3 linked regions of the Lytechinus pictus genome follow. The protein of the gene in region 1 purifies or fractionates together with the protein of each later gene. This does not show direct contact. Links are inferred from orthologs where the notes say so. Each region holds a gene or a part of one and is shown in the gene's direction. Other genes may lie near its edges.

Region 1 (7,007 bases):
CCATCTTAATCATTGGTACCAAAAGTGCTTAGCATATCAAGCTTTCACGTCAGAATATAAAGAAATTTTAGCTCGCTCTCTAGTGAGATACATGTATCTATGCTCCTCATGAGTTACTACAAGCAAACCTAAACAGGTACATTTTTCCTGTTTTCATGTCGTACTAAAAATTTTCAGCTCGCGCTTCGCGCTCGCATTGTTGGTGAGGTTGAGATATGTGTCTCTTATGATTCATATATATATATATAAAATATAGGCCTATGTGTGGGGGTGTGTGGGTGAGTTTGTTCGTTTTATATGATCGAGCGTCTTTGGAACGTTGATTCATGATTTTGCCCCCCCCCCCCAATCTGAAAAATGGATCGATGCCCCTGTGTATACATCATGCTCAATCCACAGATCACTATGTACATGTTCCAGATAATTTTTGTCATTTTTTCTTTCGTATGAGTTTAGAATAGGCTTACTTGTAACACAAATTGAATTTTAAAAAAAATTATATAAGTACAGTACACTACAACAATGAAGGAATTTCCAAGAACACCATGCATATCAATCACTCCCAAATGTCCTAACTTGTGATTTTAGTGGGGGTAATGTTGAAAGATCCCCATCCACAAGAACTTTTGTGTCATCATCCCCCCAACCAAGAATACTGATCGACACCCATGATCCTTACAAAAGCTTAACTTGGAGGTTTTTTAAATAATTTTTTTTTTTTTTAGATGATGTATTTGAAATAGACTGGCTGGATGCAATTATAGTCTTTCATTATGAGCTGCCTTTTTAAATGCATTCCAATAAAAAAAACATATTGGTTGAAATATATATGCTATTATAAAGACACTAAAGTTTGTATACTAGTTTGCATCTAATAGTTTCCTATGTTGTGTACTTATGTAACTGAGAAAAATGTATGTATGTTATGGTGTTTGTGGAATATGGGAGGAACAGTGAGGGGGGAGAGGGTGGATGGGTAGCAAGATGGAGAGAGAGTTAAGAGTGAGAAAATAAAATAAAAGAAAAAATGAGATAGTGAGAGAGAGAGATAGACATACAAAAAGAAGGAGAGAGATGGATAGATACATACAGCCTACGAAAGAGAGAGAGATTATTGTAGGGTTCAAGAAAATTATATGTTTGGAGTTGAAAATAAATGAAGTTCTAAATCATCAAACTGAAGGGGAATGAAGCAGACGCGGCAAAATGAAGAGAACTTAAACCGAAGGAGTCTGGTTGTACACTGTTTAATATCTGGGCTATTTTGCCTCAGCTTAACTTTGGATCACAGTATAATTTACATAAATATTTAAATTAGAAATAACCAATCAAACTAAAGAAAATGGAAGGATCGAACCATGGACCTATGAAAAGATGGACGATTAACGCGAGCATTTCTTTGACCCAATGATAGTCACCGTCACCTGGTTATGCGCATTTTAATGAGAACATACAGGTGTTGTAACAATAGCAATTACCATGACTATGTATACCAAGGGTATCTGATCACTCAAAGACGGAACAGTTTCCCGGTCTTGACTTTTGTTGGCTGATCCCCTGTTTCAGTATGTGCCTTTCAGTCAATTTGCTTCATATATGGATCAGCAAACTTGAGAAGCAGGCGATTTTTATGATATAAAATATTATATTATTCGATCCGCTAACTACCGCTCACACATAAGGACCTCAATAACATTGAAAGATACACGATCTACACATGTTATGTGCCACGTATATCTGGAATATTATGGAGAAACTTGGGAAAATTGAATTTTAAATGGTAAACAATCAATCACAATATTGCCTCTATATTAAAATATGCAGACATTTCCCCAAATAAAACACATGGAACTAAGATTAACAAAGGTAAACAAAAACTGCACATCGATTATCCATTATTTCATTGATTTTCTATCAACTGCGCATATAATTTGTGAAATATAAATGTCCAATAACGAACTAATTCAGTCCCTTCTCACGGTGACGATCATAGGACCAAAGAAGACTAGTATGAAGAGAATGTTATTCAGATGACAATTACCGTCACCTGTTAGTGAATTCATTATCTAAGCGATGAATGTCCATCTCTTCATAGGTCCATGATCGAACTAAAATGTAAGAACCCAATTCATAAGATGAACCAATAAGGAATGAGATGAGATATGTCTGGTGATTATGTAATAATGGAAGTAGAAACTAAGGAGTCGGGTGAGGGATGGAATGGGTGGAACACCTGAAGAGAGAATAGAGAAGGAATGAAGATGACAAGAGAAACACAGGAAAGGCATTCAGAGTAGAATGAATGAATGACAACTGAATATCATTAAACTCAAATAACCCAAGTCCAGACTGCAAGGGCAGTACTGAAAAGAAATGCAAATGAACTAAAGTCTAGACAGAACAGAAATGTAAAACACCTGAAGGAAACACAAGTCAAAGGAAATAAACAAAATAGGTAAATGACAAATTAACAATCCTACATTATGAAGGGCTGAATGGAGGTGTCAGTTGGTAGTTGGCTAACACATCAAAGGGGAAGTTCACCCTGAAGATAAGCTGATATTAAAAGCAGCAAATTTTAGAAAAATATTTGCGAAGGTTTGATGAAAACCATGGAATATGACGTTTTTAATTTGTGACACGATTATGTGAGCAGCTTATATCATGTAATATCACTTCCATTTTCAAAGGAATATGAAGAATATTGTTATATTCATAAAGGCCCGTGAAATGATATTTGTCTGATGAGAAATCCATCGCACAAATAAAATCATGTTTAATTTTTTCATGTGTCATTATGGAGGAACTGCTTGTATGTGACGTCACAAAATCCAAATCTATAAATCTTTTATCATTTGATCGATTTTCATCTAGCGCTTCACTAATTTCTGCTATTATCAGGGTGAACTTAATTCCCCTTTAAATCTGGGTTTGTCCCCATTTCACGGGGTAGCCTCCAGACAGCCGGATGCCAAGAACTGAAAAACGCTGGCCGGAGTCAATAGCTCTCACTCATGACCTCCACTAGCTATATAATTGCTTCTTCATTAAAGCCTATATATATATACCCCCAAGAAAAACTACATGAAATAAACAAATAAATATATCTGGGGTACAAAAATCCTTGTTTTAATAGATTTTGTGCCAATTTGGGACATAACTGCACAAACTCCGCGTTCGAGTGTCTAAGTGGCGCCTCTATTTTGGGTTCTTCTCTTTTCTTTTTTTTTCTTAATTGCCTCATAGCTAGGCGGCTCATAGGGCGCCCATGCCATGCACACCTCCTGCCAGTGTCTGCCCCTGGATCCATGCATGTACCGGCCTGCCTCGTTAAATTTCATCAAAGGAAATGATTTCCTGTAAATTTCTCCATATTCCTGAAACTTCTAGGTTTTTTTTTCACAGCGGCTTCATGCACATCCACCATCGGAATAGCATGAGTGTCGAGGGATCAAGAGGGGGGGGGGGGGGGGGGGGGGGGGGCGGGGGTCGGATGAGATGAAGCTAAGTGAAAAATAAATGGTGAAGACATATCAAAACCTATTTACACATGAAAATGGTTTTGTTTTCATGCAAGGTCAAATTTTCATTATGCTTGCCTTATAAAGAGAATATACGGTAGGTCTGACTTGCCGGCCCGTACAAAAAAAAATCTACAAAATTAAGACTTGTGATTGTTCCTTTTCTTCTGCCTGTATATGTACCCGGTATCTCATTTAATTTTAAGTATTTATACTTTCTGTATTTCTCAGTTATTCTGTTATATTTTTTTGTTTGTTTGTGTTTTCTGGGGTGGGGGCCGGGCATGTCGGTCCAACAAACTAAACGTTTATTTTGTTATCACAATAGATTTTTTTTCGTATTATTCGTATCTTCTGCGTTTTTTTAACAATGTCCGAATGCACGCGGGATCTGCATTAAGTCACTTTCGACAATTCCTGAAACGGCGTCTTTGAAACGTGTTTTTTATGTGATTAAATTGTGTTCACTGAAGTAAAACAGATCTGTAAAATGGTTAAATTAACACCGGAATTGATTGATCAGGCAGCACAGTACCTGAATCCTGTGAGGGATAGAGAAATTGATCTCCGTGGTAAGTAAATCGTCGATTGTAAACTGCTGTTCAGTTTGAGTCTGTGTGAGTGTGAGGGCGAGTGAACGGTAGTCTCATTGCCTCCTGCCCCGGCGCTCCGGGGACCTAGACTAGAGACCCCGCGATGCGGCGGTGAATTCTGCTGGTTGCAGCTGCGCGCTGCGCCATGGCCATGCCATGGATGGCTAGCCAGGGGAGTGTTCAATCATTTTCATCCGACAAGTTGTCAGATCTGACATCTTTCCCTGCATGTTGACTGGCTGAAAGGCACTGTTCCTATGGTAACTGGCGGATAAAATGGGACTTGTCGGATAAAACGTCAGACAAGTCCTTTCATGAAACGCTCCCCAGGAGGCTCCGAGACAGCTGGCAGCCGTCTGTTTCGAGTTTTTTAACATTATTTTTTTTAAATTTCTCCTCTTACACAGACCAGTAGAGGCGCACGGCCAATATGGGAGACTCTCTCCAATACTAATAGGGGAGACAATCTCCCACATTCGAGACTTGCTTTGCAAAAGGACAAACAGTAGAGGCGCACGGCCAATATTGGAGACTGTCTCCAATGTGGGAGATTATCTCCAACATGAGAGACTTTTGTAAAGAATTTGGGTATCCAATTTCAGAGACAGTCTCCAGTTTTGGAGTCCAATTTCCTTTGTTTACATTTGCTGCAAAAGGATTATCTTGGCGGCAAATAAAAATGTGATAAGCAGATTCCTCATGAAAAATTACCCCTTTTCACCGTCTACATTAAATATTCACCGTCTACTTTTGTTTTGATAAGGATTTTTGTTGTCAATCACACACAAAACAAATGGGCTTCTGACCTCAGTGAGACAAAATTTTGGGTGGAAAAAATCATGCTTTTGTTGGTGTTGTTTCTTTTGTCCTTTTGCAAAGCAAGTCTCCAATGTGGGAGATTGTCTCCCCTATTGGAGAGAGTCTCCCATATTGGCCGTGCGCCTCTACTGACAAAAGAAACAACACCAACAAAAGCACAATTTTTTCCACCCAAAATTTTGTCTCACTAGGTGGTTTCAAACCGCCTCGATCACAAGAATCCCTGTTAAATTACGATAACTTTTTTAGGCTGAAAAATACCCATTAATTATTCCTGCATTCACACCGCCCTGAAACATACCCTTCGCCTTCGGGATAAGTTCCTGAAGTTACGAGCATGCGCAGTATGGTCTGATAAGCAGCAAGGCGCGAAATTCAAAATCACTAGCCCAGCAGCAACCCATGCACGGCGCCGCACCCAACGACACGCTGGGCTAAAAGTTCCCGTAATTTGCTTTCAGACCGCCAAAATACCCACGACCTTGGAAAAATCCCCGCGAAAGTTCTCGTAATTTCGCCAAGTACCTACTATTTATCGGGTATTTTCTTTCGGGGATATTACGCGTAGTTTGCTTTCACACCGCCAAAGTACCTGGTATTTTCTGATCGGGGTAAATTTCCCGAGGTCAGAAGCCCATTTGTTTTGTGTGTGATTGACAACAAAAATCCAAATCAAAACAAAAGTAGACGGTGAATTTTTAAAGTAGACGGTGAAAAGGGGTAATTTTTCATGAGGAATCTGCTTATCTTATCACATTTTTATTTGCCGCCAAGGTAATCCTTTTGCAGCAAATGTAAACAAAGGAAATTGGTCTCCAAAACTGGAGACTGTCTCTGAAATTGGATACCCAAATTCTTTACAAAAGTCTCTGATATTATCTCCCACATTGGAGACAGTCTCCAATATTGGCCGTGCGCCTCTACTGCAGACAGCTCGCTATCATGCAGCCACCATTAGCAGCAGCTAGCAGTGCCAGTACAGTAGCTAGTATGATGGGGTGTCCAAACTTCGCGGACTTTTCAAAAATATTTATTAGGCTTAAATTTGTTCACAAAATATTCATAATTCATACAAAGCCAATTCAAGAAATAGTTACCACATTGACGGCAAGATCGTAAACTATAAAATCATGGACGAAAATGTAAAGTAGGTCAAAGGGTTACGCTGGTATAGCGATGTCAAAATTCTATTCCGATCGGCGAATGCGCGCTGTGCTGAAAAACCGTTCTGAAAAAGTGTGACCTAACTTCGCGGACCAAAGTTTGTGTGGAGATTTAAACAAAAACTCAAGCTCAAAAAATGAAATATTTATATTAGATCGACAGCAAAATGCTATACTCAGGGACAACTCGGACCACGGGACAACTCGGACCGTGGGCCGAGTTGTCTCACCCGTTTCGTGATTTTTTCCCCACAAATTTGAGTCTATTTTTCCGTCATTTCGAAATTTCTTGTAAAGATTTTCTAGAGATATGGTCTGATGGTAATGTTCTTCACTTTCTATTACTTTTTTTTCGCTGAAATAAATAAAAAAGTGTAATTTTAGGCGTTTTTCGACAGCTCGCGATTCCCATAGGCGCGTGTGTATTAACTGTGTAGGTGCTCGGCTCGGCCCCGCTCAACAACTGACTTGATTTTGTGATAATTTCTCCTCAAGTTACCACTTTTATCGCAGAAGATGGACTTTCTTGTATTCCATTAACTCCATTTTCTCATCAAAAGGATAAAATTTGGAGTATTGCACGATTTTCTTTAAGTTTTTCACCTTTTCTCTCTGGTCGTAAGAAGCGAACAACCGATGAACGGTCCGCTGCTCTTCATCGCAATTCTACGTAGCTCGGCCGCCTAAACTGGCGGGGTGGGATTCAGCCCGAATCCCCAATGGAAGTGGGCGTGCACAGTCAAAGAGCTGAGCTTGACTGAGTGAGAGAGTGAACTAAACTTGAAGCTTGGCAGTGTCGTATAGCCTCTATAGGCTCTGCCTTTTTTTTGTGTAGATATATATATATATATATATACATTTTTATTTTTTCTATATTGATTTTCCCTGGTGTAGAGCTTTAAGATTGTAAT
Region 2 (8,043 bases), on another chromosome or scaffold:
TGCAGTTGCTTTCCATGATCATGAATTGGTTTTATAATACTTGCTGTTAACTAATGTAATTGTCACTTGTTTTTTCCAACAGCGAGAATATATTGCTATATGTGTCCAGCCACCCCAATACCAACAATAAATACATTGATTTAAAGATTCTCATTGATCTTGAGCGATCACATCCTAAGCTGTAAAATGATTTATCTTGTTAATATTGATCAATAATATCCCTCGCTAGTACTTCATTGAATGCAGAAGAAGTTTGGTGAGAGCTTCAACAAATAAGAGAACAAGATTTGGGGTTCACTTAAGCATGCGATGTGTAATATGTAGTTCAACTACGTAGCAGTGAGCAAAACACGGATATCAAAGTCTTGTATTTTGTCTTCAACTTTTACAACCTCACATTTTGACAGTATGAAGAAATTTCTTTTTTTTCGGATAAACCAATATTCTAAATATGCGTTTGGAAAACTGAATTACTATTTTGGTTATTTTCTACGAACCTTCCCTGGCAACTTATTGTTGATATTTGGGTGGCTGGCCACATTTGTTTTGAGAAAAAATATCAAAGAGTATATGAAAAAAAAGATTTATGTAAAAAAGCTTGCCTAGCTGTTGGTATTTTCTTCTATTGTACTTTGTCATGTAACTCTGGTAGATTTCATTTCGTTACACAAAATGGGGTTCAGTATTCAGAAAAACCATTAACCTTGCCTCAACCACAACAGTACTTGCCAAACTGGATAAATCAACATTATATCAAGCTGTGTAGAAGAACTTAATGATCATGTAGATACCATTAAGTGCATACATATATAATGTCTTTCAAGCTGTATGACAAAAATATTCTTTTCCATCCAACATCAGCTTCTACTATTTTTTAAGGTTAGTTTTTATTGTCATGTTGGCAAATTGTGAAATAGTTCATGTTGAAATATGTTGTATTACCTGTCATGCATTTGTAATGTTATTTTTTTAGAATATATTCTGTCATCATTTTCAGTACATAAAAGTTTATTCAATGTATGCCTTTACCAAAGTTGGCCATAAGCACAGTGGGTACCAACTATCACTGAAGACAACACAACAATTACTCAAAATATATGCATAGCCTTATGAATGTACAAGTCAATAAAATCTACTATGACTACATAGCTTTTTTTTGTGCAACACAGTCATATTTCATTTGGATCAATTCAAAATTGAGTGGTGTTTTGGGGGTAATGCTATGGTAACTGCAGTTCTGTTGTCCTCTGACAGTTGGTGTTGTAAGGATGTGATTGGCAGTGTGTTATAAGAGAAAAAAGAAAGTTAAAGTGAGAGTGTTGGCTTTGAAATGGACTCAACCTATGAAAGTTAAAGTTTGTGCTGCAGAAACTGGTGTGGTAGTGGGATGATAATGATGATGAGGAACAGGGCCGGTATTCAATGCTACTCTTAAAGCCATAATTTCAAGTATATTTTACTCAGTATTTTGCAAAAGTAAAATACTTATCCATCTTTGGTATTCAATTGCATTTTTTTTTGGCTAAATATTTTGCTTAAATGTAAGTCAGCCATCTACTAGACTTAAGTCTACATATACAAAAATGATACGCACAGAAATACATTCACACATTTGGCACTATTTGGCTCAAAATTTATAACATCACAATGGGTATTAGTATTTAGTTCAATTTGGATAAGGTAAATTCTGAGATCTGATCTGCATACAAGTTTAAGCATTTTGATAAGCCAGCCAAATTGCTAAGTAAAATACTTACAAAATCAAAACTTAGAATTTAATAGGCGGCCGAGGTATTATTTTCTTCCAGAGGACATGTACAGATTTCTTGTTGACAAAGGATGACATGATGATTATTTTGCAAATATGGCTTATTAAAAAATATATTATGTATATTCCATTTCAGTGACAATTGCATTTTTGGGGAGGGGATATTACGTATTTGGGAATGGAAAAGTTCAAAATTAATGCAAACTTAACCTATTTACGCAGGGGGGGGGGGGCTCTGAGCTCTGCGATTTAAAAAAAAAAGTCTTTTGCATGTTTTGAGACCAGTTTTGCGAAGCCCGGGTACTGGGTTCTGAAAATTACCAAACAATTTGTAAGTGCATATCAGACAAAAATGGCTCAAAATTGTGACATTTGTGTACCACGTCAATGGAATATGCGTTTTCAACCAAAATTCATGAATGCCTAATTGTTTTTAGTTTTGTTGAACTAAACTGATTTATTTTATGCTGTTACGAGAGTCTGAGCATCGTTGAAAAAAAACAATGCAATACAAAGGTAAAAACACAAGAAATACATTATCGAAGAACACCACAAAGAGTTTCTAAACCAAAAATTAGAACATTTGGAGCTTTATTTAGGGAGTTAGAGGAATAGGTATAGTATACTAATTATGCACAAATGAGCATAATCAATTAATAGCAATTTGCATGAAATAAATAAATAACTACACAATTTTGTGGATTATTAAAAGCAATTGCGATCTTTTTCTTCACTATTCATTGTTTTTAGAAACCTCATTGTAGACTTGCCTCATGCACCTCTCAAGATGGCTTCATCATTTGAATTATATTCACCATAACTTGTAATACAGTTTATTCTTTTTAAAAACCTCCATTAACTAATTGCCTCACCTCCTTTTAAATTGGCTTCACCATAATTTGTAATACAGTTTATTCTTTTTAAAAACCTCTATTGAAACTTGCGTCGCCTCCTTTTAAATTTGTAGTACAGTTTATTCTTTTTTAAAAACCTCCATTGAAACTTGCCTCACCTCCTTTTAAATTGGCTTCACCATATACAGTTTATTCTTTTTAAAAACCTCCATTGAAACTTGCCTCACCTCCTTTTAAATTGGCTTCACCATAATACAGTTTATTCTTTTAAAAAACCTCCATTGAAACTTGCCTAGCTCACCTCCTTTTAAATTGGCTTCACCATATACAGTTTATTCTTTTTAAAAACCTCCATTGAAACTTGCCTCACCTCCTTTCAAATTTGTAGTACAGTTTATATTCTTTTTAAAAACCTCTATTGAAACTTGCGTCGCCTCCTTTTAAATTTGTAGTACAGTTTATTCTTTTTTAAAAACCTCCATTGAAACTTGCCTCACCTCCTTTTAAACTGGCTTCACCATAATACAGTTTATTCTTTTTAAAAACCTCCATTGAAACTTGCCTCACCTCCTTTTAAATTGGCTTCACCATAATACAGTTTATTCTTTTTAAAAACCTCCATTGAAACTTGCCTCACCTCCTTTTAAATTGGCTTCACCATAATACAGTTTATTCTTTTTAAAAACCTCCATTGAAACTTGCCTCACATCCTTTTAAATTGGCTTCACCATAATACAGTTTATTCTTTTTAAAAACCTCCATTGAAACTTGCCTCACCTCCTTTTAAATTGGCTTCACCATAATACAGTTTATTCTTTTTTAAAACCTCCATTGAAACTTGTCTCACCTCCTTTTAAATTGGCTTCACCATAACCCAGGACCAAAATCCAATTGAAACCAGTTGGATTTCCAACTGGTTTCAATTGGTTTCAATTGGTTTTAACTGGTTTCAATTGGTTTTAACTGGAATTTAACAATTTCCAGTTGAAACCAATTGAAACCAGTTGGGCAACTGGAAATCCTAACTTTAACCTCCTTTAATTTAAATTGGCTTCACCATAATTTGTAGTACAGTTTATTCTTTTTAAAAACCTGCATTGAAACTTGCCTCACCTCCTTTTAAATTGGCTTCACCATAATACAATTTATTCTTTTTAAAAACCTCCATTAAAACTTGCCTCACCTCATTTTAAATTGGCTTCACCATAATTTGTAGTACAGTTTATTATTTTTTAAAAACCTCCATTGAAACTTGCCTCACCTCCTTTTGAATTGGCTTCACCATTGTAGTACAGTTTATTCTTTTTTAAAAACCTCCATTGAAACTTGCCTCGCCTCCTTTTAAATTTGTAGTACAGTTTATTCTTTTTAAAAACCTCAATTGAAACTTGCCTCACCTCCTTTTAAATTGGCTTCACCATAATTTGTAGTACAGTTTATTCTTTTTAAAAACCTCCATTGAAACTTGCCTCACCTCCTTTTAAATTGGCTTCACCATAATACAGTTTATTCTTTTTAAAAACCTCCATTAAAACTTGCATCACCTCCTTTTAAATTGGCTTCACCATAATACAGTTTATTCTTTTTTAAAACCTCCATTGAAACTTGTCTCACCTCCTTTTAAATTGGCTTCACCATAATACAGTTTATTCTTTTAAAAAACCTCCATTAAAACTTGCCTCACCTCCTTTTAAATTGGCTTCACCTTAATACAGTTTATTCTTTTTTAAAACCTCCATTGAAACTTGTCTCACCTCCTTTTAAATTGGCTTCACCATAATATTCAGGTAAGGTATATTCATTCTTTTTTTAAAAAACATCATTGTTCACTTCCCTCACCTAGATCATTTGGGTATATATAATACCTTTTATTCTACACTATTCTTCCCTTTAAAAAAACCTGATTGTACTCCTGCCTCCCCTGATCTGACATTTGCCTCTCAACGTACTGGAAATAGATACCCTTTTTTCAATATTTTTGTGTTTTTGACACCCTTATCACGTTACGTACGTAACGTGCCCTCTCTTGAAAAAGACATCCTTTTTACGTGTTTTTTTGGTTGCGCATGGTATCCACTCGTCAATGTAAGTGGCACCCCCGGGCGTACTGTACAGTGTTATTTTATTATCTCTTTATATCGGAAACTTCGTTTTACCGAATTGCCATGCACTCTCTCCGACGCGTAATTGAAGTCTTAGACAGCATGGCATACTACCAGCCGATGGTACACACACGCACGCACACACACGTTATTTGACAACTTGTCTCTGGAGCCAAAGTTCCTCGCATATATATCTGCATGCCTGCACGCAGTGTGTATTGAACACGCACGACCACGATCTAATGAATATTCATCGGCGAGACTGACGTCATTTTACGAGTCTCCTTTCAAACTTGGATCATAAGTGCCTACCAAATAGAAATGGCAGCGATTTCAGCTTTGCAGGCTTATGGAAGTGACGAAAGTGATGGAGATATTAGTGATAAGGAGTCCAATTCTGAAGATGCGACGGCACATCTCAGACCACTTGAGAAGGATCGGACCATTAAATCTTTGCAAGTGAAATTACAATTGAACGCAGCACCAACGGTGGACGAAACAAGTGACGTGAGTATTTGTACGTTGTCCCATATATCTGACTTGATGTTGGTAAAAATAAAATAAAACTAGATTTTAATTCGTCATGCGGACGAATTAGGTGGTCTGTCCTTATTCTCGCCATCATGATCACTATTTCCATGTTCAAGCAGATCAATATGATCTTCATGATGACAACGGAATGTTCATTATGGATGGAATACTTGCGAAAGTCGGGAGATGATAAAGAACTGTGAAAAGGGTCTCTTGATATATGAAAATACATGTGATATGAAAATAGTAATTATAATCTGTTTAATCTTGCTAATTTTTAACTTTCATACCTTTTGAATACCATAAAGGATCGTGTACGAGGTGGTAAAAAGAAAAAAAAAATGAAAAAAAAATCACCTTGTTCACCCCCAGGACTCGAGCCTGCGCCCCCGAGATCTCAAGTCAAGTGCGTTATCCATTGAGCCACGATATTCCCCATAGAGATTACACGTTCCCATAGAGATTACACGTAAGCAAATTTGAGAATTGCAAATCCAACTTTGCAAGCGAAAAACGGGCATGATCCCGGTATCTGATCAAAAAATGGAGGGCACACTTCCGAAAGCTGAGAATCTTAGCTACACCATATTCAAAGCTCAGAGACAACTGACAAAAGAAAATGGAGATATAGCTCACGAAATAGAGGAATGTAGAATCTAGTTTTGAGAAAAAGTTATGTCCCATAGAGATTACACGCAAAATGAGTAAAAATGACATGCCTTTATTATTTGCAATTTTTCAAGATGATCCGTTCATTAAAATGAAAAATAAAGGCAATAACTCAGAAAGAGTAAGACCTAAGCTACAACATATCGAAAATTGGGCGAAAATTAACTAATATTCACGGAGTTAGAGCCTAATTTGCATAATGGTTATGACGTCATAACAAGCAAAATGGATATTTTGATTTCCAACGCAGTTTTGATGACGTCATGATCAAATTGAGAGACAATGGTGACATGAAATCAAATCTACAACTCATATTCTATCGACATTTGAAAAAAAAATTGGGGGTCAACGGACTATTTAAAGAGCTACAGTGAATTTCCAATAGGCATGTTTTCGCCCATATATGGCCTGTAGTGAGAGCTCGCGCGCACACGTGCTGCAAACTTTAACGGGTGTTTATTTCGTTATCAATGGTCATAGAAGGTTGATCAAGGTATCAAATTGCTCAGAATTATATCATCAATGCAATGATGTAAAAAAAACTGTGTTTCTGCGTTGCGTTATGGCGTTGCGCGCGGAAACGCGCGCGCATACGTGCATGCGCGCAATTTTTTTGAAATGCTTAAAATGACTTGAAACGTACCCAAAAAAATTTATAAGCCATTTGGAGAATTTTTTTGGCTTTGACGCGCGTGTACGCGCGCGTCTTGACCTTTACATGACCTTTGATGACATTGACAGATGACCTTTGATTTAAAGTTTATGTGATGTAAATATGGTTGATTATTGATGATCCGTTATGTTGATATGATCAAATTGAGAATTTTACAAAATGGCGCGTAGATGACGTCATCATGACCAGATGACCTTGAAAAGCTTAGTATGCCGTCTCTATGATAGACTCTATATATGACAGAAAAATCAGCCAAAATGATTCAGCCAATTCGGAGAAAAGTTGGCGACAAACATAGGTGCTAAAAATAAATAATAAAGAAAGAAAATTCTGACGAAATTAAGAGGTGATCTGTCATAGACAGACCACCTAACTATAAATAACTTAGAAGTTTAGACATGTTACTGTTAGAAGACGTGCATCCCACATTGTCAATTAATTGCATGTGTAACGTTAGACAGCTGGCAGCCGTCTGTTTCGAGGAGTTTTTTAAAACATTTTTTTTATTTTCTCCTCGTACACAGACGGCTCGCTATCGTGCAGCCACCATTAGGCCTAGGGCACTCCTAGTACCAATGAGGTCCAACATTACATGTATGGACCTCATAGGCGACATCAGTAGTATTTTTGGTTAGAAATCTCTGAGAACAGGATATTTAAACATTATATCACAAGTACAAGCTATAATTCCTTTCTCTTATTTAAATTATAATTTTATAGTGTAAATGCATCGTTAGCAACAACAAAAAATGAAAGAAATGAAGGGGAACTTACATTTTCACGGCTTTTTCCTGATTTTCTGGGCAGCTGCTCTTCTCTTCTGACTCGCGATCGAAGCTGATATGAAGATCACGTGATTCGCGTTCTCGTCAGCTGATCGGTTGGTTATTCTTTTCGTCAGACGTTAATAATATATATTTTATAATGCTAGCATTCATCGCTAATTTAGGTGAAAGAGATTGAAGTTAAACAGCGCCAGGTCGGAATCATAATTATTTTGGAAGAGTGTATTTATACACTCGATCTCATACCTGACGTAGACGGCGCTATTCAACAAATGCACAATCTTCAATATAAAAATAAAACAGAAAGAACGCCTTGAACACAGGCCAAAATGCCTAACGATTTCTCCGCGGCATTAACAACTATCGTAAAGGGCGCTCCATTTATCAATAAAGATGGACGCTAAGCTGTCTATGGCGACAAAATTTGCCGCAAATATTTACGAAGAATTGTGAGAAATGGTCTGAAAATGCAACAAAAGAACCGGTGAGTACCGATTAAACATTATTAAATTTGTAAATAGATTATACATACCTTGTAGATTTAGTTTTTAAGGTGATATTAGTGCTTAGTTCTAAGCTAGGGAGGCCCAAACGCGCGTGAGTGGAGTCCCAGTTTATTAGCACGGGTAAGTATTGGGGTGTCGCCTAGAGTGGCCTAGGG
Region 3 (7,921 bases), on another chromosome or scaffold:
CGTTGCAGAAGCAGTAGCCGATCCCAAGGAGCTCTCAGCCAATGTGTTTCTTGAAAGCAACTCCAAATCTCCCGATGCCATCTCACACGGTCCGTCCCTGTTAAATGTTGACATTGATCTACCCGGAACCCCAACCAGTGATTCTAACACATCGCCAAGCACTCCTTTGGAAGTCAACAGTTCACTAAGTTCCAACAGTCAGAGACAGATGCTGTCAACCCCAAGCAACATCCAGCTCGAGGAGGCTGCCAGTAAGGACCCTATCGTCTAACCAGCTCATCGATCTACCAGGAACCCCAATTAGGGATTCTAGAACTGCCCCAGGTACCTTGTGAATCTTAATAGTTCACTCAGTTCTAATAGTCAGAGACAGATGCTGTTAACCCCAAGCAATATCCAGCTAGAGGAAGCTACCAGTAAGGACTTTACTTTTACTTATGCCTTTGGCCCCTCCTATTGCCCCTTCTAAGACACAGGCCTGTCAAAAAGGATCCACCTGGCAGAGTGGACCTGAGCCAACGTCTCCAGATCTTTCCATGTGTGGCCCATGCTTTTAGCATCTTCATCCATGTCTCTGCGCCATGAGTTTTGAGGCCTTCCCCTCTTCCTCTTTCCTTGAGGATTCCAAGACAGCAAGTGAAGACCCTGTCGTCTAAATTCCATTTGGTGACACCAGATGACCTGATGACATTACTTAAAGTTTGTTAGAGCTCTATGAAGAATGACCTGGCTTTTGAAGTTCTTGCATCAACTTTAGCACAAGATATTTTGAATATGTAATGTCCACTCATTGTATTTAAGATGTATTATATCAACTCATGTGTGGATGTTCAACTGTTATATTGTCTGTATCATATTAGTCATATATGTAAAGATCACTGCACACCTTATGATTGGTCTGTGACCCATTTTGGAATAAAACGTAAGATTAGATGCAAATAATGAGACATGAAACATCTTTCTTTGGAAAGTTCTTAATCCTCGAAGGAATACTTATGCTTAAAATCTGTGACAATGCTACCTTCCTAATGAGAATAGAAGAAAATTCAATATTTAATCATAATGACATCTTAACAGTCGTTCGATCGGCCTTGATATGAAACCAATTTGGCCTCAACTCCAAAGTAATGGCTTGCAATCATCCAAAATTGTTATTATATTAGTATTCTACATTTACTTTGAACCTAAAGAAAGTATATACCTATTTATCATTCACTTATTGAGAAAATAAACAAAAATGCAATTTGTTCCAAAATTGGATCATAGACCAGTCATAAGGTGTTCGGAGACCTTTAGAGAGATTAGTTTAACCAACAGATGAGAAAAAAAATATGTATTTAAATATTTTTTCACATCCAATACATTAAAAGATATGCATGGAAGTCGAAGTACACTACAAATACTGCATGTAGACTCCTTTTTCCTATTTTGTTTTTCTATTCTTTTCAGTTCCTGCCCTTTTTTCTTCAGGTGAAGAATGGTCATTGGCTCAGGCTAGTGGTTCTTTGAATCTATGTATTGCTCTTTTTTAAGCAGGAGTTAGATTTAGTTATTGTGCATGCATCCAGCACCTAGTTTACTTAGTATTCTATTATCCTTGAAAAATAATTGTAATTCCATTTCTTGTACATGTGCAATTCATCAATTTTGAGTGTTACCACCTGAGTATACTAGATTCGTAGAAGTTACTATCAAGTGTATCTAAGCCTGTCATCTAGTTGCATGTTGTTTTAATATGCTACTTTCTGTATTTATGTATTGTTATGCCATGTAGGTCTTTAATTGATTGGAGAGTGGCATCCTGTGTTATGTGTAGAATATGAGTCGTGAAAGGGGGACAGCTAATGTTTAATTATCAAAGCATGACAAAAAGCATGATTATTATTGCATATTCCATATTTGTTCACCATCGTAATCACAGGTGTTTTGTTTTTGTCAGCCCTTGTGCAGAGGGAAGGGGGATATTGTGTCATGAGATAACATGGCACAAACCTCTTATGTTATGAATGTAGTATTATGGTAAGTGTTTGCCCCCCCCCCCCCCTCTTTCATGATGGGGTTCAGGAACCATGTATGTGGTGTATCGTATCAAGGTCATGTATCTAAATTTGATTTGTTAATATCATAAATTAACTTCTTCATATAATGTAGTAATTTGTTTGAGGTCAATATAACTTGTATCCTCAAGATGGGGGTTTTGTGTGTGTTATCTATAGAACCTAAAAAAATTGCCTTTAACTTTTTTTGAGATGTTTCAAAGGACCAGATTTGAGCAAGGCCGTACATAATTTATTTTTTTTCCCTGGTGGGACACGACGCATAAAGAATTATGGGATTGTAGGTGACCAAGCTTATCATTTGGGCATGTTTACATCTTCTAAAGTGATATTGAAGGATTTTGTGTGCACTTATAGATCATTTTGTGGAAATTCCCGGTAAAAAAAATGTAAGTTTTCAAAATTTCTGGGGGCAATTGCCCCCTATGCTGCATACAGCCTTGGTCATGACTAAGTTTCTGAATATTTCTATTAATAAACAAGTTTCTCCTTATCTGCTAACTTAAAATATGAATGTAGAGGTTAACAACTCAAAGCAGAGTGGGAACGGGTCTCGGTATCTGTATGAGTAAAAGCACAGAGGTGCCCATTCCAAAATTTAGGACGCCTCTATAGTATCAAACGAATAAATTCAAGGGACTCTACATAAACAATAGAGGTACATTGAAAGTGTTTTGTATTTTGAAAGCATGGAAAAGTTAGTCTGATGCTTTTATTTGCTTTGTTAAAAATCTTGATGTTCCTTTGAGCTTATGAAGAGATGGTGTAGTGGTCCACCTGCACTCCCCCCCAATCAGTTATATCAGGAGAGACCTGCGGGTCATAGTGATTCAGTTCACTTTTCGCCTCCCAGGCACAGGTGACGCCAAACAAATAATAATAATACACTGTGGATATGTTTCATAAAGCTGTTCGTGAGTTAAGAGTAACTTTAAGAGCGACTGATGATCCTTTCTTACGCGCTAAATAATCACCAATGAACATTTAATGGTGAATATCATTTACCACAAGAAAGGATCACCAGTCGTTCTTAAAGTCACTCTTAACTTATGAACAGCTTTGTGAAACGGCCCCCAGTATACTGTCATTTGGGGTGTTCAAACATTCTGTTGCAAAATTCGTTTTTGAGGCCAGCACAGAAAAGGCTGTATTATGGAAATATTACAAGGGTAGCAACCATCACATGTCTGAATTTCTGAAAACTGTCTCCCAATCCCTATAGAGAACTCTTTCTAGGCATAAAAGTTTGCCACTGTATCTATGCTGAAACGCTAAAATCAATCCTTCTTGAGCTGTCCTCAAAATGTTTGAATTTCAAAATCCTGGCGATGATGATGATGTTTTTTATTCAAAGAGAAGGAAATGTTAAATATTTATAAAAGAAGATACTTAAATCATGTTTGTAATCAAGTAGTAAGGACATTAGCTATTATATTTTTATATTATTTACTCTTAAAGGGATGAATGTTTTCTTCCCATGTTCTTGTATATGCTGTCATTTACCTTTTGAGAAGATCCATAGTATATGTAGGTAGTACAATGTAAATGTATTGTAAATGTATTTGATCTTGTACATATTGATCATATAAAATAAACATATAATTATCACAACACTATAAGATGGTATGATTTTTATTGTAAGTGTAGCCTTGATAGCATAAAAAGCCCCGATGGGACAAAGTAATCACATTGAGGGAATGGGATTGATCTTTTATATGCGATAATGTGAATGTGTGCTTGTGGATGTCCAATATTCATCATGCGATATATTTTAATTGATATATGAACCATCTTCATTTTATGCATAATGACCTCAATTTCAGATTATAAATAGTGACCTTTAGATTTTGAAAAAAAAAATGAAAAGAATGAGGGAAGCACAATATGAAAAAAAAGAAACACTAGAAAAGAAACACTAAATCAGGAATTAGAAAGATATAAGAAAAAAAATGAAAATGAAAAAGATATTAAAAATAAAAAATAAAAAGATTAAAAAAAAGGATTATCCCTCTACATTAATTCTATTTCTTTCTTTTTCCATTCAAACTCTCACCCTCTCTTTGCTTTCACCATTTCTCCTTTTTTTTAACTCTTATCCAGCTTTTTTTTTCTTTCTTTCGTCCATCCGTCCATCCTTCCTTTCTTTCATTTACACCTGCATTTATTAATTATGTCTTCAAATGTCATTTTTATTTGTTATTTGTTGAACTGTATTTTAATGTTCGTGTTCTTTTTAGCACCAGCTAATGAGGAGAGTCTTTAATCAGAAACTTGATGTCTTTTGATAATCCCCAGGCATTAGCTGGTGTTCTTTCCCTTTTTTTTTTTCACACTGATATTGTATGTTGGATATTGTATGATTATTTTCAATATACTGAAATTGACTATTGTTATGAGTATAATGCCATGTGTACCTGAAAATGGAATAAAATACATGAAATAGATAAAAGGGGTGTTATTTGTGATAGCCACCCAAAGTGAAAAATACATATATATTAGGGTTAGGATTTTATCTTTTATCTTTTTACTTGCACTATAGTTTAGTTTTGTTCAACTGCACCAAATGTCATGTGTTTTTGTGATTGCGGCCTCAGCCAAGTACGACTATACCATACTCTGTAAAGAGGACTGTACTCAACGGAAGAAGAAGGGTTAGAATAGCTGTTGCATAAGGAATTCTTTCCAATAAAAGTTTTCAATACCATATAGGTAAATGATTAAAATGAAATAGATATAAAATAAATAAATCAGAACGAGTGGAAGTTAATGCTTGCCAAATAAACTGAAAGGGAAAAAAGAAGAGGAAAAGAAAGTTCTTCCAAAAAGGAGTGCTAGCGCCATCTGCGGCGATTATCATATAGTCAACATTTGGAAACATGGCGAAGCATCATCCAGATTTAATTTTTTGTCGCAAACAGCCTGGTGTTGGTAAGTTAACCATCGATAATTTGAATTTTCAAGGGATGGGTGACTTCTTCAATTTTCAAAGTAGTAAATAAAAAGCAACAGATCTACCAGATTTATCAAATATGCAACATTAACCATCGAAACCGAAACGTTTAATCATCGTTCAAATGACTTCAGTCCGATCCCTTTATTTTGGATGTGTGTTTAATAAACAGTTTACGGCGGCGGCGTGGGGGCAGCGCGCAGCGCTAGGTTCAGTCCTTTCAGTTTCAGCTTTCGTGTCCCAGTCTAAAAATAAAGCGGTGTGGACTATGGTATGATTGCTATCCAGGTGCGGGTCCATAGGAAGGGGGCCGAGGTGAAGAAGCCTTGTCCCCCCCCAAAAAAAAAAAAAGCTAGGCTAGATCTAGCTCTAGGCTAAAACGGAGAGGGGAAAAAAAGGGGGGAATAGAGAAAAACAAGAGAAATGAAGAAAGGAAAGAAAAGAAAAGGACGGGGGGGGGGGGAAGAAAGGAAGAAACGAGAAACAAAGTATGAGATGAAAGGGAGGAGAATGAGAGAGAAAGAAGGAATTAGAAGAAAGCAGTGGAAGGGGAAAAAGAAAAAGATAACAATGACACATGAAATAAAGATGTTGTGTTTTTAATCCTCTCTTTCGCTATTGTTTTTGTATTGTAGTTCACACAATTTGCCCTGTCTAAAAACTCTAAGCTTGCTGGAAATTCCTTGAAAGATTTGGTCTCAAAATGATTTTAACCCAAAATTGTGAATGGTTAGCCTCAGAGACATTGAGAAAATGATCATCAAATCTGAACTTTCTTAAAAATGAATTAAAAAGAAGTTTGTATTTAAAGACAAAGTTCACCCTGATAATCTTGATGACAAGTTGGTTTTAATAAAGAAAAAACAATTGAGAAGGTTTGATGATTTTTTTTCATAGTAGGATATCCCAATCATGTAATATGATTCCATAAATTTCAGTTTTGTTTTGGAATATGATGAATAATTTTTGGGGGTTGCAGAATTAGAAAGGTTATAAAATGTGTCTTCCTGTCTGGTGATATATCTGCCACACAACTAAAATCAATTAAACTTTTTTTAGATAATCGAAATAGCATTTATGTGAAATTATATCATACGACATATAAACGAGCTGCTCATTTGTGATTTTACTAAGTCAAAACTTTAAAAATTCAATTCTCGGGTTTTCCTTAGTCAGATTTTCATCAAACTTTCACTTATACAGGGCTCGACACTAGCGCCGGTCCGACGGTCCCAGACCGGTAAAAATCGCTGTCGGGCTAGTAGATTTTCAGAAATAGGAAGATTTACTGGTCCGACATGACCAGTAAAAAATATCATTGTCGGGCCAGTAATTTTTCCAAAAATAGCAAGATTTAAGGGTCCGACATGACCAGTAATAAAAACCATTGTTGGGCCAATAACTTTTCCAGAAATGGTCAAATTCACTGCAAACCATTTCCCCCCGTAAAATTATGTCATTCACACACAGAATACACACAGAATGAATCGCACGTAAGTGTTACTAAAGTAGCATACAGTGTACATGTAGCCAGCCACACAACCCACGTGGTAAATTCTCTACTGGCTGCGCGAAGGAAGCTTGGCTAAACTCTGGCAGAAATCTCTCACAGAACTGTCAAAATTCACGATTCATACTCATGAAAGGCTCTTATAATGTCCATATTTCCTAAAAATTGGAGTAACTCTGTAATTTGTAAGCAGTAAAAGGAGAAATTTTCACTTCTGTTTTGGTTCAAACAGATCGGGTTTCGGGTGATATCGTCTGAATACATAATAGCCCCACATATGCATTTATGTGTGTGTTGATACACTTGGTTTCTTTCGTAGCTATTTTAATTGAGCCAAAAGAAACTGATAAATTATTTGATAGTTTTAGCTTTCTTCCTCTGTTTTCTTCCTATCTTTCTTTCCTTCTTTCTTTTTAAGCTTTTTTTGTTTCTTCCCTCTCTTCTTTCATTTTTTTTGTTACTGTCTTTTTTTAATTTCCCCTTTTTTCCTTTAATTTGTTCTTACATTCTTTCTATCCTTTCAAAAAATATTTTTCTCTATTTCTCTTTTTTTTCTCTCTCTCTTTCTTTCTTTCTTTCTTTTTTTGGGTGATATTTTCCTTTCTTTAATTCTTGAGTCCATCCATCCTATATTCATCTCTTCTCTTCTTCCTTTCGTTCCTTCCTTCTTTTTACCCTTTTCTTTCCTTCATTCTTTGTTACTTTCTTTGTTTCTTTCTTCCTTCCATCCATCCATCATTTATTTACCCTTTCTTGTTTTTTTTATTTCTTCCTTCTTTCAGCCCTCTCTCTCTTACATTCATTCCTTCCTTCTATCTGTCTTGTTCTTTCCTTTTTCCCTTTGTTAAATCTGTCCTTTTACCTTTTCTTTTTTGACTGCTTGCTTCCTTTCTCTCCTTTATTCTTTCATTCCTTCCTTTCTTTGTCTCTCAGTCTTTCTTTTTTTCTCCCTTTCATCTTTTCTTTTACCTTTTATTTTCTTATATTGCTTGCTTCTTTCCTTCCCTTCCTTCCTTTATTTCTTTCCTTCTGTCTATCATTTTACCTTTCCTTTATTTCTTCCTTAATTCCTTTTTCCCTTCTTTCAATCCTTCCTTCCTCTCTTTCTTTCTTTTGTCCTTCTTTCCATCTCTCTTTTTACCCTTTCTTTTTTATTGCTTCTTTCTTTCCTTTACTACTTTCTGGATTTGTTCTTTCTTTCTGTATTGCTTGCTTCATTTCTTTCCTTCATTTCTTTTTTATTTTCTTTCTTTCTTTCTTTCTTATTTTTGTTCCTTCTTTATTCCTTCCTTCCTTTCCTTCTTTAGTTCTTTCTTTTTTTCCCTTCCTTCACATCTATCCTTTCTTTACCCTTTTTTTTTTCTTCCTTCCTTCTTTCCTTCCTTCCTTCCTTTCTTTTATTCT

What was found. The genes of interacting proteins can lie anywhere in the genome.
Region 2: the proteins of U2 small nuclear ribonucleoprotein A'-like (region 1) and pre-mRNA-processing factor 17-like purify together in Homo sapiens (affinity purification with mass spectrometry; 3 studies listed by BioGRID and IntAct, counting the BioPlex papers as one, with this or other methods). This does not show direct contact. The link is inferred for Lytechinus pictus from reciprocal best matches to the Homo sapiens genes SNRPA1 and CDC40.
Region 3: the proteins of U2 small nuclear ribonucleoprotein A'-like (region 1) and PHD finger-like domain-containing protein 5A purify together in Homo sapiens (affinity purification with mass spectrometry; 4 studies listed by BioGRID and IntAct, with this or other methods). This does not show direct contact. The link is inferred for Lytechinus pictus from reciprocal best matches to the Homo sapiens genes SNRPA1 and PHF5A.

Annotation. Positions count from the first base shown.
Region 1 is NC_087255.1:19,989,085-19,996,091, reverse strand, and holds the start of U2 small nuclear ribonucleoprotein A'-like, read left to right. Parts: upstream 1-3,919; 5' UTR 3,920-4,093; intron 4,094-7,007. UniProt on the Homo sapiens protein: Involved in pre-mRNA splicing as component of the spliceosome. Associated with sn-RNP U2, where it contributes to the binding of stem loop IV of U2 snRNA.
Region 2 is NC_087248.1:12,677,618-12,685,660, forward strand, and holds the start of pre-mRNA-processing factor 17-like, read left to right. Parts: upstream 1-5,004; 5' UTR 5,005-5,045; coding exon 5,046-5,231; intron 5,232-8,043. UniProt on the Homo sapiens protein: Required for pre-mRNA splicing as component of the activated spliceosome. Plays an important role in embryonic brain development; this function does not require proline isomerization.
Region 3 is NC_087254.1:7,084,695-7,092,615, reverse strand, and holds the start of PHD finger-like domain-containing protein 5A, read left to right. Parts: upstream 1-4,882; 5' UTR 4,883-4,933; coding exon 4,934-4,985; intron 4,986-7,921. Other genes in the region: E3 ubiquitin-protein ligase MGRN1-like, read left to right, coding at 9-271.